Linked DNA regions of Neodiprion lecontei. The protein of the gene in region 1 binds, or shares a complex with, the protein of each later gene. Links are inferred from orthologs where the notes say so. Each region holds a gene or a part of one and is shown on either strand. Other genes may lie near its edges.

What was found.
Region 2: mitochondrial import inner membrane translocase subunit TIM50-C (region 1) and mitochondrial import inner membrane translocase subunit Tim23 share a complex: the UniProt entries of both Homo sapiens proteins name them as parts of the TIM23 complex. The link is inferred for Neodiprion lecontei from reciprocal best matches to the Homo sapiens genes TIMM50 and TIMM23.

Annotation. Positions count from the first base shown.
Region 1 is NC_060265.1:20,608,746-20,625,397, forward strand, and holds mitochondrial import inner membrane translocase subunit TIM50-C, read left to right. Parts: upstream 1-7,871; 5' UTR 7,872-8,004; coding exon 8,005-8,146; intron 8,147-8,674; coding exon 8,675-9,027; intron 9,028-9,106; coding exon 9,107-9,226; intron 9,227-9,451; coding exon 9,452-9,559; intron 9,560-9,638; coding exon 9,639-9,770; intron 9,771-9,961; coding exon 9,962-10,085; intron 10,086-10,218; coding exon 10,219-10,322; intron 10,323-10,437; coding exon 10,438-10,530; 3' UTR 10,531-11,022; downstream 11,023-16,652. Other genes in the region: uncharacterized protein LOC107223414, read left to right, coding at 3,341-3,508, 3,727-3,951, 4,367-4,541, 4,649-5,808, 5,930-6,486, 6,566-6,869; uncharacterized protein LOC107223411, read right to left, coding at 11,041-11,483, 11,572-11,745, 11,836-12,101, 12,283-12,506, 12,592-12,727, 12,868-13,066, 13,274-13,396, 13,475-13,565 and 3 more; mitochondrial mRNA pseudouridine synthase RPUSD3, read left to right, coding at 15,260-15,521, 15,636-15,825, 15,954-16,152, 16,286-16,652. UniProt on the Homo sapiens protein: Essential component of the TIM23 complex, a complex that mediates the translocation of transit peptide-containing proteins across the mitochondrial inner membrane. Has some phosphatase activity in vitro; however such activity may not be relevant in vivo.
Region 2 is NC_060260.1:5,833,499-5,850,150, forward strand, and holds mitochondrial import inner membrane translocase subunit Tim23, read right to left. Parts: upstream 9,284-16,652; 5' UTR 8,989-9,283; coding exon 8,895-8,988; intron 8,800-8,894; coding exon 8,550-8,799; intron 8,331-8,549; coding exon 8,161-8,330; intron 8,009-8,160; coding exon of another isoform or gene 7,959-8,008; exon of another isoform or gene 7,949-7,958; coding exon 7,831-7,948; coding exon of another isoform or gene 7,827-7,830; exon of another isoform or gene 7,823-7,826; intron 6,439-7,822; coding exon 6,429-6,438; 3' UTR 6,256-6,428; downstream 1-6,255. Other genes in the region: uncharacterized protein LOC107225069, read right to left, coding at 3,565-3,798, 3,953-4,157, 4,263-4,624; lipase maturation factor 2, read right to left, coding at 11,437-11,704, 11,793-12,009, 12,218-12,458, 12,578-12,783, 12,892-13,141, 13,366-13,544, 13,741-13,934, 14,496-14,597 and 2 more. UniProt on the Homo sapiens protein: Essential component of the TIM23 complex, a complex that mediates the translocation of transit peptide-containing proteins across the mitochondrial inner membrane.

The DNA.
Region 1 (16,652 bases):
TCTCTTGCCGTCACCTCATACTTCTCGTCTCGTTCCTCTATCTGTCACGTCTTTTCGTACTTACACATGGCTGAAAAGTATCTACTCACTACCATGTGCGACGCCCCACTACTCTCAGACCTCCTCTGAACATTCCCCCATCTGATATGTCTACATAAGGTCGGCCATCGATAGTCATTCCGGAAGTTTGTTGCTCCTATCGATTAAAATTTTTCTCGGTAATTTTTTTCCATTGAAGCTGAAATCTCAAGCTCTCATCTCAATCCAATTTCATGTATCAATCCCTGTGGATTTACTAGTTCGAAGAGAAAACAATTAACATAGTCCAAATTCGACTCATATCCTAATCAAGCTTTATTTGACATCAAAAAACTGTTTCGAAATCAAAGTAGTGTTAAACTTTCCTACACGGGTGGCCCAAATCATTCTTTCGATGCTCCATAACCATCAATGAACCATTTCTCATGTTATAAATGTAGAATATTGATTATACATTTTTCCTTCAATATATTTGCAAATTACTGATTACTTCGTCGGAAAAGTGAAACAATCGTTAATTACTGCTTGCATGATTTTTAGTTCTCGAAACCCTACAATTAAGCGATTAGAAATGGATGAATTTGGCCATCGGTATGGAAAAATACTTGCAAATCTTGTTTTTATCAAATTTGTTATTTTTTACCTGAAACGAGTTTTGATTATTAAATAAATATATTTCGACGATGTTAAATTTTTATCCTTTGGGTAGGACCAGAACGCTTCGTTAGTATCTTCCAGAATCAGTTTTATACTCTCGATATATATGATAAGCTACAAGTTTTGAACATTGTAATGCATTCAGTTGTAATAAATTTGAAGTTGATACAATCATCCTATGACCGAGAGATCTTCCAAATACCGTACACAGGTTTCTTTTTGTATATCATAGTGCAAAATTCGCTATTGTTCCATATTATATCGTGCCAGAAAAAAAATTCTTTAATTGTACCGTCCATTTCGATGGTGTCGAGAACTGAGATCCACCCAACACTAGACATGAAGTTATTATCATTACTATAGTTTGCCTTACTAAAGTCAAATCTGGTCAAGTTGGTTAACAAGTTGCTGTAACAGTTACCATGAAGCGCCTCCCGCACGCATTGCGTATGACTGCATTATAAAACCGCACTATTGATGTGAATTTTTGATCCTTTGATGTATAAGAAAAAAGTTATTATTATTATCATTTTGTGTTTCAATTCAATGAAAATAATATTGTGTGATGAATTCCTGATTTCGTGATTCACCTCTTCGTACTCATTCCAGTACATACGTTCGGTTATAATTTTCATGTCTATACATACGTAGCTTTTATCTACACACCGGTTGTACAAGAATACTTCAATAGCTCAGCTACGAGGCGTCTAGACTCTAAGCGGGGAATCACCAAGGAAAATTGTATTTAGACGCTAGCTCTATCCGACGGTGAAAACAGGTACTCAATGCCACTATCCGTTTTTTAAAAGAACGGTTCTTTTTTCCAGTGATGAAACTCCACGCACAAACAGCATGCCAAAAGCCACCATCAGCAGCCATGTTACAAAAACTGGCAGCAGAGATGTGTAGGCTCTCTGCTGATAGCACGGAAAATTCCCTAGGAGTGAGATACAGCGGATACAGAATGGAGACTAGGCTGATGGTATAGGTATGATAGACTAGATATGATAGATATAGATATATACCGTTAAGATAACCTGCTCATCGAAGTTTTTGACAGTTCATAACTCGTGTAAAGTGTGTAAACGGTGGATCATCTCCACAAGATCTCAAACTGTCTCAAAATTGTGAGCCCTCGCTTGATGTTTATGGATTTTATTGACTTAAACATTTGAGGATTCCGTTAAAATAAAACAATTATCACGCCCGCCATGGAATGCTAGTAAACATCTCAATCATTTTTATTCGCATCTTTCTTCATTTTTGAGTGTTATTCAGGATTGTTGATTCCGAAAAATCAGCTGTTCGGATCTGATTTATGATTGGCTCACCCCGAGTGGGCAGCACTGCAGACGGCGAAGACGAGAACCACGGTTTTGCCTCATCTGAGTCATTCCCCACCCTACTAGTTTCCGGACCTGTATGTAAGACCGTCAATTCTTACCAACTTCACCTCAGAATATTACGATGACGGCGTTGCTCTTAATGAAATCTAAAACTACTAAAGAACAAATTTTCGAGGACAAATTTTTTGTAAGCTCCTCCATTAGAGATGGGTCTCCTTTTTACTATTAAGCGGGAATCCATTATCGAATCGGTACTACAAGTATGGCGCTGGTATACGTATGATACACGATGAATGACTTTTCATTCGATTCACTCCGAGAGTGAACTGCCTCTCGAATGAAAGTAGGTACATATCTGTATTAATTCGTATAAACATGCCTGACAAAGGAAGGATGAAAGTACGCGCATCGAGCGGCCTTGACACGTCAAATGTTGTCCGCTAGCAATCAGCTGGCCGTGCCATTTGTTGCCAAACAAATGGAATTCACCAATCCCGGGTAGTGAAAATAAAGAAAACAAAGGGGGGAAACGCTAAAACAAAATAATACAACGATGAAAAGTTGCACATCGCCACGCCATTCGCAGCAACGAAGTAATGTTAAACTTTCGCTGAAATTGACAAGTAAATTAATACCAAGAACAAGAACGAGAAACCTTACGAAAAAACTACTAGTAAGCTTTGAACGATTTGACGTATTCATTTATGCGACCAAAGTGTCGTCTAGCTTGCAGTAATTATTTACAATTTACAATAGGTGACTGCAATGTTTCAGTGTCATTGAACGCGAAACGGGAGGGAATTACGTGTATCAGAAGTCTTATTCATAAAATTTTACTTCTGAATAACGCCTTATGCGTATTTTGCATCCATGCAGTCGTTATATATCTGCGGTGCTATTTACGTTCAGCTTCTTTGTTCATTACTTCAACTACATCCAGTCATACTGCCACACAATTTCACAGTTTTATTCACTTTCATGTCAGATAAACTTCTCAATTGTAGAAACGATTGTACACTTTTGCCTCGATCAGTTTGAACTGTTGATATAATCAATGCGACCTTACTGCAGTGTAATTTATTGAGAATTAGCTTATTATTCACATATTAAATTAAGTATTTAAACGATAATAATCATTGTAATAGTTATTATTTGACAATTCTAATGCCACGTTAAAGAATTAAATATTGGTTGCGCTGTTTTAAAACTTCTTTAATATTAATAATCCAATTACAGATGGCATAAAGAAGCGACTCTACGCTACATCGGCACAGACTTCATAAAGAGAACAATTCATCATGGCTGACAATGAACAGACTTATTACGATTTTGGGAACTCTGAAAGTATCGAAAATTTTTTCAACGACGGTTGGACAATAATTGGTGGAAATTGTTCAAAGAAAGATGATTCCGACGAAGGCAGTAATAACGACATGTCTGTCAGCGACGCTCAGGATACTTTTGGGGTAAGACTCATTGTATAGATCAAGACTTTGTAATTCTGAACTGTCAATAATCACAGCTACGATAATGTCAGTACTTATTAGGGTGATATATTGCTCTCAGGAGAGATTTGCAAGTTGTCGTAGCTTTTACTTCGTTTTATAAAGTACTCGATTCGGAATATTTAAATTGCAGTAATGAAATTTCAATTGACTTCAAGTAATAAACTATTCTCACACAGAGTATAGAAGTGCTTTCGTCACCTGATACCGATGCTGTGGATAATGAAACGAGAAGCGATGATGACAAACCAGTTGAAGATTCTGATGGTATATCGGTAATAACTGATTGCGATTGTGATCAGTTAATTGCAACAAAGAAATTTGGAGAAATCAATGGTTGCCGAAACCATTTGTGCAGTACGATTAACAAATTTGAAAAGACTGGAGAAAAATCAAGTCCGCAGGTATTTTCTATGTTGAAAATTAATTAAACAGTAAAACAGAGAATTTTATATTATTTCGTCAGAGAATATCTTTGTTTTCACAGCAATGTCTGCAGTAAATATTATGATGTAGTTCAATATAATCTATCGCCGAAACAATTTTAATATTGGAATTTAGTTCAGGAAAAAGTGCTGATATCCCATTCTAAAACTGGATTAATCTTTCCCTAAATACTCGTAGAAATTTATGCAACCAATTACCAAGCTGCTAATAGCTTGTTTACAATTTTATCACCACTGATCCATAAATTTGCAAAACCTCTATTATTGCCATATTAAGAACAATACATACTTTTACATCAATATATTTCACATAACACAGATCCTCACATTCACATGCCTATGTAACAAAATATTTCAAAACTGGTTTTTTTAGGTTGGAACGATTTTGAACTTTGTAATTGCCTGTTCATTGGCAGCTATCATTGGACTTGGTGCAGGCCGCATCCTTAGAATGGATGACGAGTGTCCTATTACGAGTGCCATTGATTTTCATACTATAAAGGCAGAAAGTGACATGTTGATTAATCGAATAAAAGAATTAAACGAAGGTAAGCTAGAGCAGATAGAATATAACTGTACTCATGCATGGGTGACAAACTACAAGAGTTTTTTTAAGTGACTGACAGCATTATTTGTAATTTTTTTTTTTTTACAGTTAAAAACGTTCTCGTCGAAATAAAAGCCAGTATTCCGCAAGTGAAACGAGCACAAGAAAAACTACCCATCCGGGGATCTAAATCAAGAACAAAACGTTTCCAACAACGTGAGAAACATTTTAAAATTTCAGACACTTACATCTTCGATCCAGATACTACGATCTTGGAACAATTACAAATATCACTGAACACATTGTGCTCTGTTATTGATGATATCAACCCAGAGAATGACTTTATAAGTTTAGACGCATCCAAGACACAAAGCATTGTTACTGATTTGATTGAATTTAAAAATATTGTACACACTGTTGTGAAAGAACTTGGTAATACAGAAAGGCCAAAGCAGATGGAGTTTTTGAGAAATGCTGAAACGAGGATAAGAGATGTTTGCGAATCGCTGCTCACCGATTTAACTTATACCATACATGGATTGACTATGAAAATTCATCATAAATTAAACAAAGTTAGGCACAAGTTGAACAAGAGATTGTGCTTGTTGAAAACGTCTGGATCGTTGGATGAAAAGGTGTCTCAATCCTTAGAAGAAAATAATTCTTTTCTAAAGAGCTGCGACAGAGTATTAAACGTTACCTTAAAGCCAAATGCACGTTCTATAGAAACAAAAGAAAAACGAATATCGAATCGAAAAATTTACCCGAAGACTACAGGTAAAGCAATAGCAAGCTTATCCGAAAACTCGTCTTCTGGAACTGAAAATGATTTTTCAAAAGATTACTCTAGCGACAGTTCAATGCCAGATTTGACTTACAATTACAATAAAAATATTGATTTTTGGAAAAAAAAACCAAATGTTCGCCTAGAAGGAAAAGACACTAAACAAGAGTCCGGGAGAATTCTGTTAGAGAATGGCATAAAACGGGGTAAGAAGAGAACCAAGATTATGAAATCAAGCAGAGATTCGCAAAGCTGTAAAAATTCTGTGATGGAAATACTAGTGCCAGCAGAAACTTGTCCTATGAGTCAAAACCTTTGGGTTGAATTAGAATCTATTTGCGATAAAATGGTCAAGCCTGAAGTACCAAATGCAAAAGAAAAACCGTTGTATTCGACCATTTTAAAATCAACAAGCAATGCTGTGCCATCTGAGCAGGGAAAATTGGATGAGGAAAAACCACATAGTGTCAAGTTCCCAAGCGAGGTAAGAAATTGATGGTTTGCGAGCATTTTATTTGTAATTTACACCTTGGGAAATCGTGTGAATTGATTCGTTAAGTAATTTGCTCTCCTTCTGAATGTTGTTTTCAATTTTGTATACAAAGGTGAGCGCCGAAGAAAAGGATAACTTGCGCGAGACAAAGCACGATGTCACCCCAAGTGAAAGTGATATTAATGTATTACAGAATGTCAAGATCATGAAAGAGCAGTGGAATGCTAACATTCGCCAGTCGGTTGTACAACATGATGTGGCTCCAGGATTCCAAGAATCTCCATTATGCGAAGAAATTTCAGAAGAGGTATACAAAGAAAAGCTGTTACAAAGCAATGAAAAAATTCCTTCATCGAACGGGTCTCTCAAACTCTGTCGAAAGGGTGAAAAATGTTCCAATGATTCTACTACATCAACTCAATCAAAGAAAAAAGTGGTATCTAATGACGAAAACAAAGATAATAACAAAAAACGCAAGAAGAAGCGCGGTAAAAAGTGGATAAAAACACAGAACAATTATGATACTGAAGATTTAAAAAAAGTTATGTATAACGAAAAAACTTTGCCGCCTCCGAAGATGAGGCCTACGAAAATTCAAAAAGATTCAAAAAAGCAAAACACCAATCAAAAGAGTAGTGGTCAGTTATCAGGCGATTGGCAACTACAAAGGTAACATGATTTACAAGAACTTACTCTAAATCGACCAGTATTTTGTATTCCTATAAATGTGTAAACTCGAAATTTACAGATCTCATGCTCGGGAGATGCATCGCGATGGTAATCATCGCTCTGAATGGTTCTTCGAACGTGCTTCTTCGCGTCAAGATGCTCGAGAAAAGGTTTTTGCGAAAGTTGGTTCTAAATGTTATGGACCAGACAAATGTCGATCGAATTCCAAAGAACGAATAGATGATGAAGAGTCTTACGATTACTGGGTCCAACCAAAGGAGACAAGAGATCGAAAGCATTGGGGTGGCCGTGCCGGTTTCACGGCAAAAAAGATGGTCAAGATGCTTCATCGAAAAAATATAATGCAAACGAAACACCATTGAGTTACGAAGTCTAAGAAAAAACTAAATGCATATAATACCTATTCTTTAATTCTTGTTCAAAAATTTGTACTTTAAAATCTATACTATATTTTATTCTACTAAGCGTTCAAACATATGGCTGTTATTATACAATAAGTAAGGAAACAAATACTTAGAGAAAAACCGTCTATACAGAGAAAAGAAAAAATTCCAGAAGCTCTCTTGGTGGTTAATATTTTCTCAGTTGAATTGTGCGATAAAATTAGTAATGATGCATTTATAAATTGTTTAAAAAATTTTGACTGTTTTTCGGTAGACCCTTCATTTTGAAATTCCTGAATGAATCATTATTATTTTAACGAAAAAGTTGATTTGTATTTCTGCAATTGTCCATTCAAAATTTAGGCATATTGGATACACTAGTCGGAGTAACTAATATTCGTTAATATCGAATCTTTTTTTAAAGAAGTGCTCAACTAAATGATCGCTAATTCAATAATATGGAAATGCCAATATACCTTATAAAATGCTCAGCATTACCTTTTGGCATCTACACAGAGATATGATGATGGTATTATCTATATTTATACAATATAACTTGAAATAAAAATTTATTATTGAATAATCATCTTGCACGAAAGAATATTCATATGGTATCGAGAAGTTATTATGGAAATACACCTATTCTGGTCATTCATTCCACCAAACCGTTAAGTGGAAGCAATTTTTCAACGTGAATGATCTTTCAAATTCAGGAGAAATCACTAAATCAGCTTGAATGAAATTTGGTTGGAAAATCTAATGTTCAGTAAAGAAGGGCTACATAATTTTGCGAACTTCTACGAACTCCGAAAATTGTAGCCACTGAGCCTTCGGAAAGTCGATTATTCCTGTAATTTCTGACAAAACTTTCGGAAGCTTCATTACTTCCCAATTGGAAAACACTCATCTTTTTTCCAACAGAAAAACAAAATTATGTTCATCCTGGTGATTTCGAAATTTGCAAATACATCGGTTTTCCACGTGTGTTTCGATATTTCGGCAGTTTGGGAATCTACCGATAAGTTAGTAGACTGTGCTTACCCGAAAAATCCCGGCATTTCTTCACAAAATATTTCAACCATCCAACTGATCAAAGTGTGGTACGTGATAAGCGATGGCATTCGCGGCTCGAGGATTACGAGTTTTCTGTAAAATATACAATAGCAACAGGTGCGGAACGTATTCAACGCTCCGTCAACCGATTAGAAAATTATCCGTTGTTCAGTCAGCACAAAAATTTTATTACAGCACCGATCGTGAGTACATTGCGCTAACGACATAACCTCAACCTTGCGAGACTTTGATAAACGAATTTAATACCGTAGAAAAAACCGTTGAAAACTCTATTTACTGTTCTCGTATCGGCGAATCTGCATTACTACAACTCTGCATTAAAGCTAATTTTAATATCACAATTATTTTCCGTATACTCTGTCAAAAATAAGCTCTGCAAATTAGCACGTGAGGAATTAAGCCTTTGGATACGTTTTCGTCATTCAAAAAAATGTAATTCAAATACAATGAGTGTTTTTTACAGCTGAGTGTCATCTTATTCTGAACCGCTTGGGAGGGAGGCTAACTTTAATCGTACAATACAATCAGTAAACAAACGTTAAATGTTTTCCTTGCAAAACAAAATATGTGAACTTTTTTTTTTTCAAAGTTTATCAAGAAATATCACAGCATTGAATTAATTTCTTAAAGTTATTTAAAGATAAGGTAAAAGCTTGCTTGTATTCAAAGTGTGTTACATTAGTGGGTTTATTTTATTCATGTTTCATTAGCAAACCGTCCTGGGATAGCTGGGAGTCTTACAAACATACAATCGACAGTTGATCAAAATTTAAAACCCGTGAGTGCAACAGGTGGTCAAAATGAAGAGTCGAGTCAAGATGCGGATCAGAAAAAACAAGAAGCCGAAGATAAAAAGCAGCGAGAACATTCGTGGAAAATGATGAAGTATAGCTTTGCATTCTTTGGAGTATCGATGGGTGTGATGGGCTCTTTCTTAATTTATGAATTAGCTAGACCCAATGTTGACGAACAAGGAAACATTATCGAAGATGAATTCAGTAATTTACCTTACTTCGAACAGTTGTACAAGAGACTACGTAGGGAACTAAACTACTACAAAAAAGTATGATATCAAGGCTTTTTTTTGTTAAATTCAATACCCCTGTTCTAATCAATCAACAACATCAAATCTGTTCATACAGCTTGTTCAAGAACCAAGTAGAGAGAAGTTACTACCAGATCCATTGAAATATCCTTATATGCAACCTCCATATACCTTGATTCTTGAATTGACAGATGTATTGGTTCACCCTGATTGGACGGTAAGCATTTACTGCGTTATTCACTATGACAATGTTAATAAAGTTCTGAATTACATTCTGTGACTACTATGTAGACCATGCAAAAGTCGAATCATGAAATACAATGTAGTTCCATTTAATTTGTCGTTGAATATACTCCAATTCAATAATTACAACCACTACTCATCATGAGATGATAATTCATACAACTTTCACTCTAACAAACTGGTCATTATTTTCTAACAGTACCAAACTGGTTGGAGATTTAAGAAACGTCCAGGAGTCGATCAGTTTTTGGAGGCTGTTGCACCACCTCAATTTGAAATTGTGATTTACACAGCCGAACAAGGAATGGTGAGTATTTTATACAGCATACTGTGCGTTTACTTTCTGAAATATTTCTTTACGTATGCAAAATTTCAATAAATTTCAGACTGTTTTCCCCATCTTGGATGCTTTAGACCCGCAAGGATATATTATGTACAGACTGGTGAGAGATGCAACGCGTTTTGTGGATGGGCACCACGTCAAGGATTTGGCTGCACTTAACAGGGATCTCAGTAAAGTGAGTTCAATACAATGTGTAAAGCATTGGAAAAAAAAAACACTTGGCAGGGATAAGAATTTGTTCCAAACTAGAATAATAATAGTAAATAAATAGTTGCTATAAAGAGGCATATTCCAAGTACCTGTTATGTTTCTTCATCTTGTATCGTTTAATTATTAACTATGATTTACATGCTTTGATTTTCTTAGGTAATCGTAGTCGATTGGAATAGCGAAAGTGTGAAACTCAATCCTGAAAATATACTGAAGCTTCCAAGGTGGAAAGGGAACGATGATGATACGACTTTGTATGACTTAGCTGCATTCCTCAAAAGTATGTTTAAATTAGAAATTTATTAAATGAATGCTAGATCACTTAACGATATTTCGAGATAGCTTACACGAAAATGAGTTACCTGCAAATCAGAAAGTTGAAATGCTGTAACGCAAAATTCACCTTTTTACAGTGATATCAGCAACAAATGTAGAAGATGTGAGGGATGTTCTTAATTACTACAAACAATTTGACAATCCATTAGAAGCTTTCAGAGAGAACCAACGAAAACTTTTGGTAAGTAGTCACTATTTATATAAAAATAATCAAATTGATTTTTATGATTATTTAAAAACATAGTCTACAGCAATAAATTTACGATAGATTGAACGAACGATTTACTTTTCTTTAGCTACAAATGGAGGAGGATGAACACAAGTCATTGAAGGACGACAACAAAGTGCTGATGTCGAAATGGAAACCATCATTTTTACGGAATCGTTAACGATTGAACGTAAAAGGTGGAAAAGTGCAATATTTTTTGCATTTACTGTCAGAACGAGTACGCATAAATCACATTTCATTATCGCCCGTGACTTTCTGGATCAGAAAACCAGTTTGAAAATGCTATAATGAATGAAAACTCACAGTTACTTATTGATATCCAATCATAAGTTGAATAATTTATTTAACCTGTTGTATTACTTAATACAACATATTTTGTAAATAAGAATATACAGTAATTGTAAACCATTTCAAAAATTTATTTTTTGACTTAACCTATGCTGTAACATTTACCAAAATTAATGCAGGCCTTCGAAGTTACCAGTTTCCTATTAATTATTTCTCACTGTTTTATCTCCATGCAAATTATGATATATGGATCACTGAAACTAACAGTTCTAAAAATATTAATAACAATGTTAACATTTCATCGCCATGGACTATCACTTGTGCTTCGATTTTAAGAATAAAAAAAGAAATTCCGATTCTCCGACTCGAACATAGGTACTCATTAAAAACCAGCAATGTAGTTTTTCTTTGTAGCCAATTTTTTCCGAGATTTTTTTGATTTGGGTACATCATAACAGGATTGCTCATTCTGAGTGTTATCAAGAGTATACTGGGGTGGTACATTTTGAGATACGCTAATCAATTCTTGAGAAAGAATTTCGTTTGATTCGTTTATTATCGATGTGTCTTCTTGGGACTGTGTTAGATTTTGTGACTGTGTCGTACTTTGAGAGGGAGTTTTCTTTTCCAACCAACTCAACACTTTTTGGTGCGGAGTTACAGTCAAGGGGGCAGAATCCTGTCGTATGTCCCACATTGCTAAAAGTTCTGGGGCGAAAATGTCAACGTAAGAATTTAATTCCTCCACTGACTGAAACCACTTCGGTTCATGACATCGTACTTTTGGTTCCTTCTGTTCCAAGCGACGATTTTTATTCCTCATTTCTGGTGAAAGATATCATTAGAAATTGAAGTAACTGATTCAATCTTGCTTGCAATAATAAATTTCGATTTAATCATTTTTCCAACTCACCATTGAATATATGTTCCATACTTGCTTTTTCTGAGATTACTAAGGGCTTCACAGTTTTACTCTGTGCTAAACATGCTTCTTCCCAAGCCTCTAATGCCAGTAGAGAATTTGTATTCACGTCTGAATCATTTCCTGAAATCTTCTCGTGCGTTATGCACTGGTAAAATATATCACCTATATCATTTGAGCCATATAAAATTATTAAATTTCTTTTGTTGAATTCACAAAAGTTACTAGTATGCGGTTACACGAAACTTATTGTACCTATTGAATTCTGAGTGAACAGAGTCACATCATTTCTATCGTTTAGATTCAACACAGTACCAGCATTGCAAAGTTCTAATCTGTTTCTCAGGTTCGGTTCTAGACATTTTCCTATGTCTTGGCATGCTTTCAAAGTTTCTGACGTACTTGGCGGCATGTATGGCAAAGCATATGAATGCATTTTTGTGTCGCTTGTCCAATTGTTAATAATTATTGAATTTTCCCCAGCCAACTGGCTAGATAAAGTGATAATCTCTTCACCATTTCTGTCAATAGATGATATCATTACGTATTCATATTAGTTATTTAAAAATAATGTTAACCACCGGAAGTTGGATGTCAAAATAGTTTTCCAATTTATAATAGCTTAAGTGTGGTGGGTAAAGCATATTTGTAGAGTAATAGTTTTATATTTTAGTATGTGATCTTGTAACCAAATATACGTACCTTTCTATAATCGAAGAAAAAACTGGAGGACTTTTAAACTGGTGAGTCCATTTCTGTACAACACTTGAATTTCCAAATCGACTGTCGCACAACAACAAGCTGTGATATGTTCCCAAGTATTGATGAAACGAATTCTGTTTGCTTGCAGAATTCACAGAAATCATCTCACATATTTCCAAGTTATGCTTCGGACACAAAGTCAAAGTAGGCCCATCCAACGGAATCTGTCGAAACCATGAAGTTTACGTAATATTTGAGAACAGCGAATAAAATATGATGAAGGACAGCAAGGTCATTTGTAAATCTTACCCGTAAATCAATATAATATAGACAACACCTGTCAACAAATGTTATCAAATTTGGATCTGATTTATTGAATTTTATACTCATCCAATTATCTGGCAATGTTCCATGTTTCGGCATTGTTGTGCAGCTCAAACACTTCCTGTTGAATACATAAAGGAAAATTATTATCATTGATGATTGGTAAATTAAACTAAAAAGCTGTTGCTCAATCATCATTTCATAAGCTGAGGAGACAATTGTTCAGAACCAGCTTTGTTTATGAGAAACAAAAGAAATTACGTTTTACTCAAATCTTTGAATTCCACAGATCGGGAACTATTCACTACACAATATTTATTAGACTCAATCAGATTTAAGTCCGCACTAATGTATGGCAACTCTGATAGCTCCTGGTGAATTTCATTCAGTTCCAATTTTTCCTGATCATCCCTCAGGGAATAGAAGTTACAAGAGTACTTTTGCCTGCCGAGAATCCTACCTGAAATACAATTTTTACCAAGAAAAAGTTACTCATTAGACAGAATCTTTATTATAAATTCTGTTATGAATTTTTCCTTTAAAACGTGTTTGGCTTGGCAATTGATACTCTACAGATCAAAATTGTTGTGTACATTACATTAACTTGAACTTCCATGCGAAAAATAGCTTTTTAGTTGAAATATTAGATTATCAACGTATCACTCACAACAACGCCCTGCAGTAACGACATGCTTTACTTCATACAAGGTACTCCTGAGGTCACATTTTCCTGCTATTCTTAAATTTGGCTTCCACGATGAATTTGGTTTCTCAATTAATGGTGCAGCAACTGCAATGGCAATTTTTACTCAATCCTTGGACCTTTACAATGGTACAATTATCGATCAAATATTAATTACTTCCATACCTAATTCATTGGCATATGGAAAGAGCAATATATTTCTATCAAAGACACACAAGTTGTCTAAAGATCCACCTGTATAATACCAGTTATATTCCTACAACAGTTAATATATGTTCTCAACAACAAGTAAATCCAGCTTCAACCAAAAACTCATTTCAACTGTACTAAACAAATTTATTAGTGTAAAAATTGTAAAATCTAATGAAAGAAATTTTCTGTTTCTTTAGACAATTTTTTACCCCTTCAAATTCAGGATCTGGATCACACTCCATTATTTCAGCCAACTTAGCAACATATCTTGGCACCGATGATTCTACTGTATCTTTTCCTATTTTTGTCCACTTTAGATTTGTCTTGTGGCAAACTTTCAGATCTGAAAAAAATCGAGATTAAATGAATGTTTTTAAATTTTGGTAAAATTAATTTGCACTGTTTTTCTCAGTATTAAAATCTAATAACATACCTTTTCTATGTGAATATAGAAAGTGTTCTTCCTCTTCGAGCACAATTGTAAGAGTGTCTGTAAGTGTGTTTACATTTTGGTAACTTACTATCCACTTTCTATATTCACATATACTATCACAGCACAAGAAAACAAATTTGAACTTACTGGTAATGAGAGGAATTAACGACATCAGAGTCAGGGCGGCTAGGTGGTCTAGTGGAGTAAGGCTCCGGTAAAGCATCGCTAGATACCACGTTCGATTCCTGGCTCCGTCGTTAATTTTTCGAATTTACCAGTAGTTCAAAAATTATATACGTTTCACATACCTTTTCTATGTGTTTCATGATACTTGATTATTTGATTGACATTGTCCTTGATTTCAGATTTAATTTTAAGAAGCTGCAACGCTGGATCACTGTTTCTAAGAACTAGGAAAATTGTTCTAAAGTTAAGAAGACGACAACTTTCAGGGAATTTTTGGGTAAAGGTTACAAACTAAACTGCAGAAGAACTCACCACACTGAGGCAGTCTTGCCGGGGGTAATAGAGGCTTTGGTAAATTTGCATCGTAGGGAAACTCTTGAAACATATTCATAAGATGATCCTCGTCATAATTCTCAACGTCAGGATTTTTACTTAAATTATAACCAGGAACTATGTGATGTGGATGACCATTGAGAAAGCTGTTTTTCAATTTGCCTTGCAGGTTATTTATTGCACGGCTCAATAAAGTTGGTGCCTTACCGTTTTGTTGAAACATTATAACAATTCAAACATACCATAAGCTAGTGTAAATACAATCCTTCAACAATTTTGCTAGAATAAATTTACAAAGAATACGTTAAAACTGGAGTGTGGTGTGAGTGTTTAAAATCAGAAACTAAAGGTGAAAATACTGGAAAACTAACCTGCTTTTCTTTATAATTTTAGATATTCGTGGATGGTTTTAAAGTTGTTGAAGACATTTTTATCACGTTAATGCGGTAAATTCGGTAAAGAACATCGCCTGTTCGTATATTTCATATTCTGTACCAACGCCTGTACGAATGAATAAAGACGCGGGACGCACGTGGGATCATAGCGTGGTCTTACATACAGCTTTGACTGAGATCCTCAGTCAACGTGCTTCAGGAATTTGCGATGTTTTTGGAATAGTTTATAACGTCGGAAATTTCATCGAAAAACAAACACGGACACGACCGGCTGACACACACGTGTTTCGCCGAATCCGTGTTGTTGAGTAGGTGCATTTCAATTTTTGGAGTAATTTTTGTTAAAGGTAATATTGGATAAAGATGCGAGAGTTTTAGTACTGTTGATAGATACCATACCCGAAGTTTACGATGAAGGGTACTTTGCAACAATTCGTTCAGCGTACGTTATTGAAAATTTACGAAGTGAATCGCACGAATAGGTTATCATTTGTGACTGCTCATAACCTAGATAAACAATCAAAAAATCGAAAGACAGGTTCCCGAGAAACGAATGACCAAGAAAAGGTCGAACGAGACAGGAAACCCTTACATCCGTATAAAAAAATTCACCCTTGGAAATCAATCGAAAACTTTTCCCAAGACTTGATTGACAATGTTATTTACAACAAAGGTAACGTTTTCCGTGTTTGTTATAATAAAAAAAAAAAATTTCACTTATATAGTCTCGCGAGATACTGTAAGTATGTGAATTCCACATTATTTTTATTATTCTATTTGGTGCTAGATGGTGTGGTTGTTCTTAACAAACCGTACGGCATTTCCAACTTTTCGCGAGAAATAACGAGTGAAAGGACAAAATGGAAGCCTATGGCTGGCATATCCAATTCTGTCAACTATACGTTGTTAGATGTTCTTCCGAAAATATCTCAAGACCTTGGATATCCATCGCTCAGTATTGTCAAATCTCCTGAAAGGTAGTTGCAGAGAATAATTTATTAACTTCCCTAAGATAACTCACCGATCTAGTATCACAGTTTATACTTGTTGAAAAAATCCATGTGTAATTGATTTTGCCAAGCAGTAAAATTTCTATTCTTTCCAGATATATTAGTGGCATTTCAATCCTAGCAAGCGATGAAAAAAAAGCTTATGCAATAAAGAAGGCTTTATCTCGTGCCCAATGTGCTAAAACATTTGCACGAAGTTATTGGGTTGTCACGACTAAGCTACCTAGAAGCAATAGTGGGGAATTAAATCTTGCCATAAGAAAGAAAGAGAGCCCGTGTAAAACTTACAAGCAGGTAGACATCTCATAAAATTATCTGATTAAGCTTTAATCTTGTTATCATTACTAAAGACAATTTTATTGTTCAGATACCTGTGATCCCATTAGCCATTCACTACTGATACCGAATCCATTGTTCTAATTTTCAGCCAATTATTGTGACCAAATGGGGAGAAAATGAAGTGAAGAGAAGAGAAGTGAAAACGTTTGATGTTTGTTATCGCACAATTTCAACTTCGGATGGGAACTTGTCTGCCCTAATGGAAATTCAATGTTTTACGACAAAATGGCACGCCATAAGGGTGTTTGCTTCGACTGTTTTGGTCAGCCCCATTTTAGGCGATAACATTCATGGTTCTCGGGTGAAAAAATTAATGGGATCGTATATGCATATAAGTCCTTTTGTTGATGCGTCAAGGCAAATACCGATACTACAGCCAGAGCTCTTAAAAAAGTTGAATTTGCAACAGTCTCAAGCAGTCATAATACCTGCGCACATTCACTTGAGAGAAATTA
Region 2 (16,652 bases), on another chromosome or scaffold:
GTTATAATGTTATAAGACTTTCCTATGTTCTTCTCCAGTATATAAAGATTATCATAATGATTCAACTGGAAGGTCGTTAAAGACTTCAATAAAACTAAATTAACATACATTCCATAAAACGCTTTCATGTATTAAATCTTCTCAACGCAAATTACGGTTTGAGAATTATATTCTCTGTATAGATCTACATTTTTTTTATGGCTGAATGAACATCCAATGTGACGAAAAGAACCTGTTACTTATTTATTATCACTATGAAATGTGATATTATATCTCCATTAAGAAGATCGATTGATTCTGAGCACAGCCTGTTCACTACTGATGTTTATATCCAGACCAATAGTCTTTGAGAATAACTCGAAAAGCACATGTTATTTGTCAAAAAATACAGTATGAATTTGTATTCACATACAGGTATCTGATTTTTAAGCTATGTGATCATATATTTTCAATCCAGTACTTTATACTCCAGCTGCAAAATTGTATGATGCTTAGATGAAGCAAATATTTATAGTTTCAACAATCATTCAAATATTATTCAGGAAATTATTTGATAACTGAAGATATACCATAGAGAAGAAAGTATGTTGTAACTACTTGAATATGTAGCAAGGTATAAATATATATGTATAAAAATCAATTAATATAAATAATCTGAAAATAAGCAGCATTAGTAATAAATCTTACTCAGTAGTTGGTAAATATATCCAACGTTGCTAGAACGTTTATACTTTCCAATAAAACAAAAAAATTCATTAAAAAAATATATATAAATAAGTGGAAGAAAAATAATGTATGAGTAGAATGAAGAAAAGAAAAAACCATTTAATATTGTAAAACTAGTTTTTCTTTTCAAGTCAAACCAGGTTGTACTTGGCAGCTTAATACCAAAAAATACAAGGAAAAAAACTACAAAAAAAACAAAAAAAAAAACACGCACATGTCTCTATTTTTGCAGTTACACATTTTCACTACATTTATACATTCAAAGGATATTCGAACTGTACTTGTACAATTACCAATGTAATTTGTATGACGTAGAGACTTTTATTATCGATTTACCACATGTATTACAGATGCTAATTTTTTGTGTGTCATAATCGTGCTCCACGCATTGAATATGCTCTCGTTACTTATAGAAAAACTTCGACGCTGATTATACATTAAAATCAGTGACATACGAGTTGGCAACTATTATATACTAAAAAAGGCTTATAAACGAAAAAACTATCTGGCAATATACCAATCCGTATTGGTAGGTGTGCAGTTCTCCAAAGGTGCAGCTAGTGCCTCGAAGTGATTCAGTCTTTTTTTAGTGATGTGAAGCTGCTCGTACTAGAAACATAAGCAACATTTATTGATCATTATATTTTTTCCATTATGAGTTGAGTATCGTTGTTTTATATATTTCGGCTGTTGTAGATTTTCAAATAACCACAATCACAGCATTGCGTGAGACTGATACTGGCAGTTCTTGATTGTTAGAAATTTTTTTAAATGATGCTGAAGCGTAAACATTTCGTATTTGTTATTTGATACCTATCTAGTAATTATAAATAGGATTCTTATGTTGCATTTACTAAGTTGAATACTTTCCTGCACTTATATCACACGTCTATTCACCAAGTTGTTGAGCATTGCACTAAGGTTTAATTAAGTATAAAAGTGAGACAATACTATAAACAATATTTAAAACAAAAAATAAACAAATTAAATGATGTATGTAAAAATACATATATATAAATATATGTGTGTGTGTATGTGTATATATATATATATATATATATATATATATATATATACACACACACACATATATATTTATGTATAATACTTGTAGATATACTAGTTTGACTGTAATATTTAGGTGCCTTCCTTTTATTAAATCAGTTTCAAAGCTTGGCTCTATTGTCATTTTCCACAGAGAACCGATTAGTTTTTAAGCTAATATGTATTTTTGAGAGTCGAAACCCCAGAGTAAATTAGATTTATCATTGGGTTTCATTCAAACGTTTCTCACGAAAATAATGATCAGGCTTAGCTACTGATAACTAAATTTGGATTCGTACTTTATGAAATCGATTTCTGATTTCGTATAAATAAAATTTTTCTTCACCATCTTAAGTTCAAATCCATACGGACCAAATATTGAAGGTATTTTCACGCCATTGTTATTAATATTATTATTATTAATATTATTGTTATTAATTTACGATTATTTCTACTATTACCATATTACCAGATTTATTAAATATGAGAATGGGAAGCAGGATATTTTCGAAAAAAAAAAAAATGCTTCATAAAATTGCTACTATTTATCAACTATTGAATGCAAGGGTTGTAATATATGTTTAGATTTCCTTGAATACTTGTGAGTTGAAACAACATTGATCACATTCCACCCCTTGATAGCTTCTAGTAACTGCATATTTATTGCTTTTAATTTGTCATTTTTCTATTCTTCGTAGGGATGCATAAATAAATCTTTCTTTTTCTGTAACCTGTATCTCTCTAACTTCGATTTATTCACGGTCTGTAAAGCAAATGTTTCAGCATTTAAAAAAATTCCGTTTAAACTTGTAATTGTATTTTAAATTACAAAGGTACGAGATAGTATACATATACACAAATTAATGAGGTGTGCCTGAGGTTGAAGTAGAGAAATAACGTTAGCATTTATTTGACATCAGCATCTTTGTTATGTTAATATGCCAACAGTTATTGTCAAGTCGGTAATGGTAATTTAAGAACCACACTTGTCGCGTTCTTAAATAATCAAATTTCTTCACAATGTGCAAGGAATTGTTGCTACGATGAATCTATTACCCTGCTTTGCCTTCATTTTATAACTGAAATCATGAGTTTTCTAAATCAAATGTTGTCGACGTTCTCGAAATATTTTTTTTCAAGAGATTGCAGCCGTATATTTATTTATGTATACAGTTTTGTTGTTTTACTATATTATATTGTTATTAAAATTATTATATGTATAGTTGTCCACATTTCTTATCGAACGTACTAGATGCAAGTATAGTGCAGGTCTACAATATTAATTCAACCATATTCTTACTATTCTTAGGACAAATATAATATATTCGAAAGTTTCAATACTTGGCTGATGGAATATTCAGTGGTATGAATATTCATTTATGTGCTGAACTGTTTTGTCTACTAAGGCGGCTTTAATGTAATATTATTTATTACATTTATCATTTGAGTGATTAATTGAATGATGTACAATGTACATACATGAAATGAATAAAAATGTACCTATATGTATAAAAAAAAGAAGACAGCTACAAATAAAGTCTATTATCATGTGATATGAGAATTAAACAATTTTTCCATAGTATATCTTTAAAAAAATACTTTAACTCATATTAAGGTGTCATGTGTCTGATGTATGTATACGTCAAGTCTAAATATGTTGTTTGCATTACGGTATACCTAAGATCAATATCGGAGTTCTAAGACAATTTGCGTTATTAGTAATTCCTTGAAATTATTATGGATATCAATTATCGAAATAATATTTGATCTTTAGTAATAAAATATAATTTGTAGTCACCAGCAACAACAACTTTTCCCATTCAAATCAATCTGCCTCTCTCTAGCCATGAGAAGGTTTATAGTAAGAATACCTATCCATGCGAACAAGTTAAACCAACTGGTTGTAATAGCTAATTGCAAGGATAGTCCGGTATTGATCTCATCCCCGCGTCTCCAGTTATTAGCATCTGGCTGTAGATAATCCATGTAATCAAACACGGCTCCACAAGATAAGCGATTATGAATCACCTGAAAAGTTGAGGCTTTTGTCAGAAATAATACTTTTGTAGTTTCTAAAACTGATGTGAAAGTTGCAGCAATTTATTATGCTTCTCCCTTTCGTTCTGATTTACGATTGAAATTATTTTAGATTGATTACAGAATACGATAACGTCCACAATACCTGAACTTCACGACCGCTCGATCCTAAGAGTTGAACCATGTTTCTTCGATATTGGTTACAGGTTTTATAGTACCCGTCAGTTAACAGTACAGCATGTGATAGGGAGAGAAAAAAGATGAACACTCCTAAAAATCCAGCTAAAAACCATCGCTTACAAATAGTTCTTCGTTTGGGTCCCACCACAACGACATTTCCCTGCTCTGCCCTGAGGAATGAAATTATTTGTTTATTTCGAGTTCGCTGCATTCAACAACGTATCAATTAAATTTAATTTATCAGGTATTTATTCCAGAGTTAACGTGTTACTTACCTATGGTCGGATGAAGATGTCATTTGAATCTGTTTAGGATCCCCTAAGTTTCTGTTAATGCATGTTCTGTAACCATGATAAATTGCAAGAACCAGCCCGACAATCAGTACCGGAACTAGACCATATGATGTGAAATGGCACAGCTTAACATCGCCCCCCATAAAAGTACTGAATGTGTTGACACCATACAAAATACACCCACAATCTACGCTAATACAAACATCTAGAGTCCAAGCCCAGTGCTGCCATACTATGAGCAGACAAATTGTGGATGTCGTTGACAAGATTGCAGAGACCGAATACAAAACTGCAAGTTGCTTTTCAGCTTGTTCACTTTTTGCATATAATTCGATACTTGACATGTTTCAAGTATTCTAAACTTTAATCGGTACAGTCAAAATCAGACGCGCATTGCGCATATATCGCCTACAGTTTGAACGTAAATATGCTATTACACACTCATCGTTTTCACTACCTTATTTACACTGTACTTATCATTTATTTATATTGGATTTTTCCTCATATTTTGTTCTGCTCAGAAAACTTAAAAGTCGTGTATTTCCATGGAAACTGAGCTGAGCGTTCTCCGGAACGGAGAGAACCGTACTAATTGTAAGCGTTGCCAAGAAACTGTGGGTACAGTTTATATTAAACAGAGTATATACCGGTGTCTGATGCTAAATGCAGAACACGATAACTACCAATTAATTTTGCTACACAAATACACAGCATGTCAGAAATGGAATACAAAATAACTATTCACCACCTTGGATTAATTTTACAGCATGATACAGAAAACTTTTTAGTGTTTTAGAATTTCAATATTTTCGAATTATTCAACAAATATGGTCCTCAGCCTCAGTCTTTAATTTGCAGATATCTTATTCTCACCTAATATTTAGTCTAAATAAAACATTTCACTCAATATTATTTCTGCTTCTGGAAAGTGGTGCATTAAATTTACCGAAGGATGCAGTTTATCGATTGTACCAGTGACACATCTCATGTACATTTTCAAATTGAGATTATTGCGACAGTATTGCGATTTTCACACTGAAACTTTGCTTGAATTGATCGAGTGACTGCGTAATAAATTTGGTGACACAGTGCGAGAAAATTTCAAACCATTCAGAACAACGAGTATGTGGTTCAAAGCTGATCAAACTATACTACTCCACTGACTGAGATAGTGCTGGATAGTGCGTCGAAGATAGCTGAAAATATTCCATTATGTGTCAACTGTGATATACATATGAGTGTACATGGAATAGAATGAATTCTTATTTAATATTTATTAACTGTTTACCTTGGGGCGCAAACAACACTTTATATTCATACTACAAGTTATGATAAATTTATTTGGCAAGGAACACACTGACATTTATTGCTTGATTGATAATCGAGCACCGAAGCAACACAAGAGTTTTGATTTCTCATGAATAAGATTTAAATTCTGGCACAGATTGTTAATTCCGCTTTCTACGCTACACAATTCTTGGAATATTTAAATATGTTAAACGACGTGAAAACGTTTTATGCGCATTTTATACCATAGGTACATGATATCAGGTCAACCTGCATGATCAGATAAACTTAGATAAGATTAAGCGCCATGCTCGATGAATCAGCGACTGTGAGATTTTATTATTTTTCTACCAAAGATCCAAGGGAACACAATACAAGTAAAATACACAAACGGATATCGAATTTGAGGGATAATCTAAGTCGCACGTTCATTCATAGTATATACCTAGTATGCAAATCACATATGTCGAATATTGACAGGCCAATATTTGTTTAACTTGGTTGAATGTATGAACTTTCGAAGGATAGTGAAAGAAATTGAAATATGGAAGAGGAATGTAAAATCAGATCTTCTTATGTTAATAGTAATCGATTTCACAGTTATGTTACATTATGTCGCTCACATGGCTTGATCCACATAGTCCGTGGCTTGATCCAATATTAGAAGAAAATATATTTAGTTTGAATATAAACGCAAATTACATTTTATTTACAAGTTTCTTTATTTTGTTTTATTATGGTATAGCTTATTTGAATGGACAACAAAACATTGTTGTCTTACAATGCATGGAAAAAAAAATTTCTATGTACAGGGCAGGGAGAAATCGATGCTAGTCTCTATATGGGCAGGTAGCCAATTGATCATTTCCGTCTATAAGAAAAATAAGAATCTATGTTAAACTTGTGAAGATTGATGAAAAGAAAATTAGATTCGAAGTCAACCAAGTGTGTAAATAATTAGAATTGAACGTAATTTCAGATATGTCAATTGTTAGTTGTAGCACCATCTTTTATGTTACATTAAGTATGAAAAATATGGATGAAGCCCATGAAGGATACAGAGTAGAAGCCAATCTCTAATGTGAAAATCGTGTATTTTATTTTTATGTTCAACTTAAATACATTTAATTCAAGTGACCTAGTTAAAATTAGCTAGGAAAGTTTTTAAACTGTAAAAACTCTTCAACCAGAGTCAAGTAAACAGAAAGCAAGGAGTATTCCGAACAAAATAAAATCGATACTTTTCAATCGAATTCAGCGGTACTGACACATTACTTCTTTAAATATCAAACCAGAAGTGAACGCCCATAACAGCATACTACATTTCAATTGGATTCATTTTATTACGAAGAGGAACGTTTTTCGTGGCAAGTAATGAAATATAATATGCAAGCTACTGTGCCAAGTATCGATGAAATTCAATAACAGTATTTATAAATTAGTTCAAGCCGCGTGTGCTACCAGAGATTATAAATAAACATCTACCGCATTGTGGAACAATTATCATTCTCATGTACACATCACGTTCACATCGCAGTAATTCAAATAGAAGTCGAAGAGTTTTACTGTGAATTATTTTATCATCATTTAGGTAAGGACCCTGTAATCAACAACGTACTCATTTCGATAGATTCATCAGACTGATTATTATTCGTTTCCCAAGGTGGATTTTTGAAAGAAACCCTATTACCGTCAGAAGCGTTAAGATGGATAAGCTTCAATATCTGAACTGTAGTAATTAAAATGTTTTGTAAATTAAACTATGTTTAGTATTAATGATTCAGGTAAACTGTAAAATGAATACATGTGGTAGTGGGTATACGAATATGTAATAAAATCACATGTATTTAAATAACTAATATATTTTCACTACTATCAGTTAAAAGAGCTAATGAGAATTGAGATTTCGTTTTTAAAATTGGCTCCAAATGACTTTGGGACATGCTACGACTGTTCCTGCTCAAATTTATTAGCCAAACAAAAACTCAACTCATTTTCATTACGACAGCTGATATTGTACAGCGACTATGACGTGAAAATCTTTCAAAACGGATGAAAATTAAAAAATTCAATTCCTATTCTTCAAAACAGTTTGTATGTATAATACTTGGAAAATTCTGATTTTTTGCACGTCAGAATTATACATTTTTCTCTGTATTAAGCTATTAGTCAAGTGCCCTCGAAATAACAATAAAATTTAAGAGAAGGATCGTTCGTAGCAAACAAGGTTGACTAAAGGTGAATTTGAGACACACACTCTTACGCCGGATTGATGCGTTGATGACTGATTTGTGAAAGTGTTTCCCGGTTATTCCATAGACAGTATGCTGCGGCTATTGCAAATCCAATTCCTCCTCCCGACGCACACTTCCTTAATCCAGCTGAAAATATTTATAATACCACCTTCATTGCGGTATGATACAAAGCCTCTATATTGATCGCTAATAAATGAATAATTTAAAATATCGTCAATAAATATTTAAGCAAACTCAAATGGAAATAATTTGTAGAGCACAACAATTGCACAATATGTTGGTAAATTGTTTTAACAGTAGTAAACCAAGTCCGCTGGGAATTGCAAATAAAGACGCACATGTAGATTTGAATAGCATTCCAGTGGCAGTCGCAGCTCCAAGAGTATTTATCGAGTCATCTGTTCCTCTAGCCCAAGAAAGTATGACTCCAAAGCCACTGTACATTACCGATATGACTCCTAATGTGTTTGCCAGTGACGAGCCATGCTTCATTACATGATTTATCAACCTAGAAAAGGAAATGATTGCGATTCAGATGTACGTATAATATGCAGTTTCAAATAATTCTTTCAACAAAACTATGGCGTTGTCCTAATCTTGCTGCATTTTCAAAATGTACAATCCTCAATACGCATTGAAACTAGATATGCCGAATGATTAATGAGTGTAGATGATATTATGATATTACACCATTTATTGTAAAGTATCCTATTACGTAATAACTCACTGTGTTCTCCTAAGGTTGCCAGTTTGTCCAGCTAAGGTTGTGGCTTTAATTCCTTTATAAAAACCAGAAGTGCCACCTAGGCCAGCGCCAATTATGCACGCAGCTCCAATTTGACTAAAGGCTAATTCAAGTCGACCTCGTTGTTTCACAGCTCCTTCAGGGAATATAAATTCCGGCTGGCTGGCAGGCAGGTAGCTTGGGTCAAAGTTCAAATATGGACTAAGAGGTGCCAATCCTGGTTGTGAGGTGACTGAAATATTGACAGCAACAAGTTTGGTATTAATTAAATACATTCCCAAACTGTAAGCAATGTAAGGAATTTAACAAGGTAACCAAACCAAATACCCTGAGAAGACAATGTATTCTCTGTAGCGGAAGGTGTAGCCTTTTCCTTATCTCCCAAGATCTTAGCATGAAAATCATTGATGATTGATGTCATGACAATTTCTATGGTGAGAATGATGTCAGCACGATAAATTGCAACTATACGCTATGTGCAAATATCGCGTACTGATGGTGATATACCGAGACTTTAGAGTACATACTAATATTTGTCAATGTCATTGCTGAATTGTACGTAATTTCGATGTTCTCGATTTCGCTACGACAGTCTAATGACAGTGGTATCGCGTCTGTTATTGCATAATTGTTTCACGTGGGGAGTAGACTTCAGACCCATAGAGTTGGAGGAAAAGTGAGGTTATGCGACGATACTAAGATGTTGGTGAGTGATCATCGGCGTATTTATACGCCTCTAAAGAAGCAGTGAGACAATACATAATATGAGATCGAACAAGCACAAAGATTCGACGAATCTTGACTCGCTTTTAACGTTTTATAGACACGTACACATGCACTCACTGAAAGTTCGGAATAATGACAAAGTTTGTCATGATATGGCAACACGACATTACTTCAAATTTACCTGAATTTTGCGAGTTGATGTCACGTAAGTCAATCATTTTCGTGTGGATTTAATTGTTTTATAGCTAGCCACGAATAAACGAGAGCAACTACGCTCCCTGATCATTAGATGCGAATTTTGCAATGAATGACCGGGTTGCGTGCTCAATCTGTGGATCGAACTCGACAATCCATTAACATGTTGAATTGTTACCAACATTGAAATACAGTTGGTACTAGTAGAGCCTGAAGTCAGGCTTGTATGTACATACGTGACATGCGTGAAACATGTGAGATAACGAACGTACGCATTGTCAGCAGAGGTTTCTCTCTGTTGTCCGTCGTGTCAGTGTTCGCAACCCTGCTTCGAAAATACTTAATCGTATTGTGTCAAATTCCATTGAATTCCAGTAACCTAGAGTATGTATTCTCCAGCAGCAGACTCTCAGTTCCAGCTTGAATAGTATTATACATTGAAAACAGATTTGGCGAAGAAATTGAATCGGGAGATATCGAACCTGGTGACCCAGACTTCGGTAAGCGTTGCCGGTTTTTAAATCAACTCATAAGAATATAATTATCACTGATCTTTGATGATTACACATGACAAAGTAATGAAGTGTACTTCAGGTATTTTCTTTATTTCGTCGAATTTACATAAGGCGTATAGAAGACTTGGGATTATTTTATCTTTTTATTATTTAGTCTTTCAGTTTTATAAAGCAAAGTCATAGAACACATTTGAAATGAAAAATGCATAATTAATAAATTCGTAGTACAAAAGACAAAAAAATTCCTTGAATGTACTTTTATTTTTTTTAACAACGCGTTAGTAATAATCGTGAGTAATATTTAAATTGAAAGAAAAATCCATATAAATAGCTATTACTTAAAAGATTATGGGATAATAGTAAAAAGTAAATTAAATAGGACGAGCTAGAATGAACGTTCACATTGTTTTCTGGACACGTACATATACTAAAATATTGGAAAGACAATGTAAAACACAATTAAAAAAAAAAAAAAAAATAGATACAAAATAAACACTAGTATCATAACAAAGTATTAGTTCACGAAATCTATAAATAATCACTGTAAGTTTTCAAAAAGTCATAAAATACAGATCCAAATGGATCGGTGATATTTCACTGATAACTAATTGAATTCTTCCATGTAGACTTATAATTCTGTCATTTTTAATTATGAATGGATCTGTGGTCCAATCATCACGTACTTAATTTTATATAGAAATCAGATAACGCAATTAGTAGACAAAGACAAGTCTGCACAACTATATGGATCGCCTGTAGATATCTTACTTGTTGGTATTTTAGAAGTAATGAAATGCGTTTTAATGACATTCACAGGAATGCCAGAAAATGAATTTCACGTACATAATTATAAGTGGAATGAACTTTTCAAAAATTGATTTCAACCAGAATTTAATTATGAATAATTAAGTAGAAATGAGTACAAATTTAAGAATCATATTTCAGAGAGCCTCGATACAGACACTTTATATCCAGTTGGGATTACTAAAAATATTTCACCTACATTTTAGACCGTTTACGTTATAACTACACCGTCCAAACTTCAACAAATAGGTACATCATCCGCATGATTGTATAGTTTACATTGTCGAACAGAAGAATATAATCTCCTCAACAAATGGTGTTTAACTAAATAATCACCACTTTCATAACGTTATTTGGTAGTTGACATTTTCTTGCAAAAAGTATGCATGCTATGTAAACAAGTACAGTAAATAGCCTCCACGCTAAATTATCCGTTTATACGATATTAACAAATGTGGAAGTCTTTTCAGCTTTTGTATGATGATAATTGTGTCGTGTATAACATCAATTCAATAGTGTCTAATTTCGTTACTTCTATTCAGACCTGGAATCCACATGGGACTTTTGCAATATACGGTATTAGTATCAACAACTTTTCAAATTAGACAAGGTCAATTGATCAACATGATTTAGTGTTTCACCCGATTATAACCGCTCATAATTATTGCACATCCCGCAGTAAATACACTCCATAAAAGGAGACTAGCTTCTACTCTTCCTACGACAGCTCTCAGGCTGTCTAGAATTAATTTCAAAGATGGGTTCACACTCTGCTCATCAGGCTTGTCTTGGATGATCTTCATTTTTGATAAATACTCCAATAGTGGTGGGTGATCTTTGCTGAAGATCGGGAAGTATTCGCCAATCTTCTCCCTGGTCCACCAGGTCGAACTGTGTCTAACATACGAGAATTTTCAATTAGGTATTACTAGGAACTTAGAAACCTCCTGTGAGCAACACGCGAGTAAAGATAATGTCCTCGTACCTTTGACTCCATGGGGTGTAATGATAGTGGTAGAGGCTTGCTTTTATGTATTTAGGCGGGCTGTCTCTGAACGGATTCTGAGCCTGATTAATAAGTGCCAGTACTTCCGGTTGTCCCGACAAAAGTCTATAGGCTAATGACATTAACCATGGGTTTTGATGGTATGTTCCTAGTGCAGCAAACCACATTTGCCAATCTAGACGAGGCTGATGTGGTGCTATAAAAAATGACCATGATCGGTTAATTATTGAGCTCAACATTGAAAGCAAATTTGCTTGTTACTTCTCAACGGAAAATGTTACCAAATAACTAAAGACTTGAATTGATATCTACGTCTGTTAACTGTTACAGCGGCAAGAATATGTACTATTTTACTTTTTAAATACTCAACATGCCTGCCACTGCAGATTCGTTTTTCAACTTACCAACAAAAGGTAAAGAATTATTGACATTTCCTGGCTTGTATAAGAATTCATATTCTCGCCAAGGTCCGTCTATGCTGTTGCTTCCTTCTATAACAACTTCTGGTCTTCCTCCCACTCCTGTCATTCGTCGGAATAATCCGTAACTATTAACCAGATGGAGATGATCTACGTCTGAATGCATATGCTTGAGTAGACTTGGGACTGTAGAATTGTGTGAAGAATGGAGCGTGGCGTACGGCACCTGTGAAGAAAAATCAATAAAAAAACGTTGAAAGAGAATCCTGACATCGTTTTGGGATAGAGAGCAAACACAGGCATAGCTGCAGAATTATAATGTGTAGTATAAATTGTTTTACTTACAACACTAATGCCAAACAGGTACACAATATTAAGAGTGTAAATAATGGTGGTAAAAGTGCTGAGTAATTTGCTACCAATTCCTTGCACAGATAAGATTGAATAGGTGACAGCCTCAGCTACAACAAATCCAAGGGATGCTAAACCCATGTAAATAGAGATCGGAACCACAGTGGCTAGAGCACGATCAAACTGCTCTTTTGTAAATGCTGAAATCCAACATTTTATTTTACAATATTGTTGTTGATTAATTTTATTCGAGCTTCGAGACTGTGGTAAAATATAAAAGTACATTTTCTGTCAATCTCATTGCTTACCGATCTTAGACTCAATGGTAAAATCTTCGGTTATTTTCAAGTTGTAGTACACGTATGTTCCATATATCACAGCAGCGTATACGAAAAGACAGACAACTGTTGAGAAGTAATCAACGAAATCGGATTGACTGCTTTTTGCTTTCTTCTTGTAGAAGAATTGGTCGTCCAATAAAGATATAGAGAGGCAGATCGTTAACAGATTGAAGAAATTGTAATTTCCCGTAGCGATAATATTCACTTGCAGAAATACCTGGGTTTAAAATATAATTATTACAATTTATACATGTTAGTGACTCTGTTTCAACTACTTTATCCATTTATAACGGTCGCCCTGGGCAAGCAATAAGTCCGTTTCTTTGAAATCTAGCATACAAAAGACTACTTTGTGTATAATCTTTAAATTTGCAGGAAAAACGTGAAATGCTAAACAGAACTCGTTTAAGTAAAAAATTATTTTGTTGCATGTATGCTTACTTGCAAGTAGAAGGAAGTGATGCGAACTTTTCTATTTGGGAAGAAGAACAGAAACGGTATTGCGAGCTCGAAAACGTTTGCTCCTACAGTGGTTAAGCGAAGAAACCATGCCGGTAGATGATGAGCATACCAAGCCAAGGGAGTAGGAATGCATTGTGACTCAAAATGCACGTTCAAGGCTGGAAAACAACAAAATAAGTCACGGTTAATTTGTTTGGCGAACGCTTGTGGCACGAGAACACTCTTGAGGGTCTTATCCCTTTGCTACGATATTAAATAATGAGAAATAAAGTATGAGCAGCAGCTGAAGCTGCAAGTCTAATTTATTGTGCTCAATATCACGTATACGATAGTTCAAGTGAAAAAATCACATACCCTCCAAACCCCACCACGTCGGACAGCCAGAAGTTAGCTTTACAACACCGCTGGAAAACATCAATCGAAAGAGTAGCCAACGAACTGCCCAAAATGTCAATGCCGTAGATGGAGTGCTGGATTTTCCTCGGCGGGGGTACCAGAAGGGTGCAACAATAGTGCACAAGAATCCAGCTTCGAGAAGAAGAACATCCCTGTAAATAAAAGTTATTTCAGAGAAAAAAAAAATTTAACATTATCAGATGACAAATCTTAAAAATTGAATAAATATGATTGTTCTGTCATTTCAGTTTCTACTATAGAAAGTAACTCTTTTAGCTAAAAAATATTCAAAACTGATGATATAGGAAAGAAAGTGACGAATTAGATGAGAAATAAAGAAAGCGATGATATCTTTTGATAGATTGGCAAGTCCAATTCATCTCGTTAAAAATAGACATGATATCGGAAGCATACAGATTTTATTTGTAAAAATAGTTGCACTCATTGGTGAGCAGTAACCTTGACAAACACATCATTCGATACTCTGGTCAAGTGTTGAGTGTCAATACGATTCTCGAGTTACAATTTCATGTAGACTGTCCTGTTCAGGCCTCCCATCAAGCTTATGCAATATTTCTTGGGTTTTATTTCAATACATATTTGAAAGTATACCTGACCGACTAGCCTTGGATTTTATTTAGAAAGCATTATAAAGTGAATAAAGCTTGATTGGGATGTTCAGCTCGTGTTAAAATGTTTGAAAAAAATCTCACCACTGAAACAACATGAAAGTTTGTCCAACTTGATAAAGGGAGTAGTAGAGAGACCATAATCCAGCAAAAACTGGAGCAGTGCAAAACCTTTGCGATATAAATCTGAAAAACAAAAATACAACCTTCATAAAGTAGCAGAGACGGATCTTAAGCTTTTGCGGAGCTTTAGAAGACTTGAATTGCCACTTTGACCAATAGAAATCAACAAAGTCTTATTTTACCCAGTAAATGAGAGAACAATCCCAAGTATCGCCAATACATCGAGCATATACTCCGTATTTAGGCTTATGTATGGTGCGAGCCAAAGCAAAGTTGGCTTCTGTTTTATTCTTTGCGACAAAGTGTTACCACCCCTCAAGTCGAGTTGCGCCTTGGCTGGTAAGACTCCGTTATTGCCATATAACCCTATTGAGGAAAATAAGTTTTGTTTTAATGTTTAAACAATTAAAACTATCAGCTCCTTCGCAGTCATTATAATTACAGGTATTTCAAATTCAGAGACACAAAACGTTATTTTTCAATCCAGTAAGAGAATAAACAATTGAATTTGCTTAGTATCAGAATTGCATGAAAAAAAATTGTCAGCAAGTGCCTATAAATTACGGTGATCGTGTTTTTTTTTTCGGTCACTTAAAACGAACAGATAAAACGAAGGCGTTATTTTTCCTGCAACTGGAATCCGTCGTTTCGGTAAGATAAAAACTTAGTTCACACCCGGCCTAATTACGGTAAAAGACAATTGCGGCTAATGCCGCCTACTGAAAATATGGGGAGGTCTATTAGAATGGGCATGAATAGTTAACAAGCGAATAATTGTAAGATTGTCTTGAACGAGGTCTAGGATCAACCGGTGCTATTAATGGGATAAAAATAAGCCGTTCTTACCTGGGATTTGGATGTAGAAGCTGAGAAATGCGAATAAGTAAATGATGCATATACCTCGCAGGAATAAATTGCGGGTATACCGAACCTCTCCCATTGTTTTCCTTCTTTTTTTATCGAACCCGTACGTGTCAAAAAATTGGCATTTATTGAATAATTATCGGTGAAAAGGAGACAGTAAATTTTGATTAGGAAGAGCAGCCACGAGTCCACAATCTGCTGTTACAATTTGTTACTGGAACTGGGGAGGGAAAGAAAACGCCAGCGATCCCGGCTGGCGTCACTCAGGGATCCAATCAAAAGACGGCAGATATGTCGGCGAGAAAATTTCATCTACGTGCTCCGCTTGTTATTCAAATTTCAAGCGTAAAATGCGGATTCGATTTTCAATCGCGGCTGCGACGCGAGGCCCTTTAATTGCAGAATTTAACAGACTGTCTCGCATCGGTGACAGAATTTTTTCTAAGTAAGCAATATATATATAAGCCTGAAATACGAACGAAGTGTGAACGCAGCTTTAGATCGTCCGTCCTGTTTTTCTCCTTTTATACAGCCACGTCTTTTCTTTTGATTTGTTCTTTCGTTAGGGCCTGCGTATCCTCAACCAATCGTTCTGCTTTAAAAATCTGGGAAACTATTTGAAAAATTCATTCACCACTCACCAGTAAGATTCGGAAGTTGAAAATACATTCATTTGATTTTAGGCATAGATAGGAATGATCTATCAATGATCAAATTCTATGTCGCGTTTAGCTGTGCTGGTTTTTTTTTTCCTAAACCAAGTACAACGTGCTGTTTGGTAATTTATTCATCTATAGGCTTAACGAGGAAATAGAAAAAAAAAAAAACAAAGAACAACGATCAGCACGGCCGACAAATGATTTGACTCATTTATTTAAAAAGGATTTAACTCTCGAACTGTTTCTAATAATAATTAATAACCATCGGCAAACTCATTGTAATGTATGGTTTACGAAAGTACATAATCACTCGTTGTCACAACTGATGCAATGTATAATTATAACAATACAAATGTATGCGACAAACTTATCGTTATACGTATATACTGATATATGTATGATGTATATGTATATTTTATATAATATAATATGTATAATATATAAATATTAAATGCAGTGGTCAAAGACCACGGTATAACTGAAGTAACAACGAAAAGTAATAATCAAAGTTCATCAACTTGAACAAAATTATTATACACGCTGTACAACTGTTTCCAGCTATAATTCTTTGTTGGTAGTACAAATTTTATCGAAA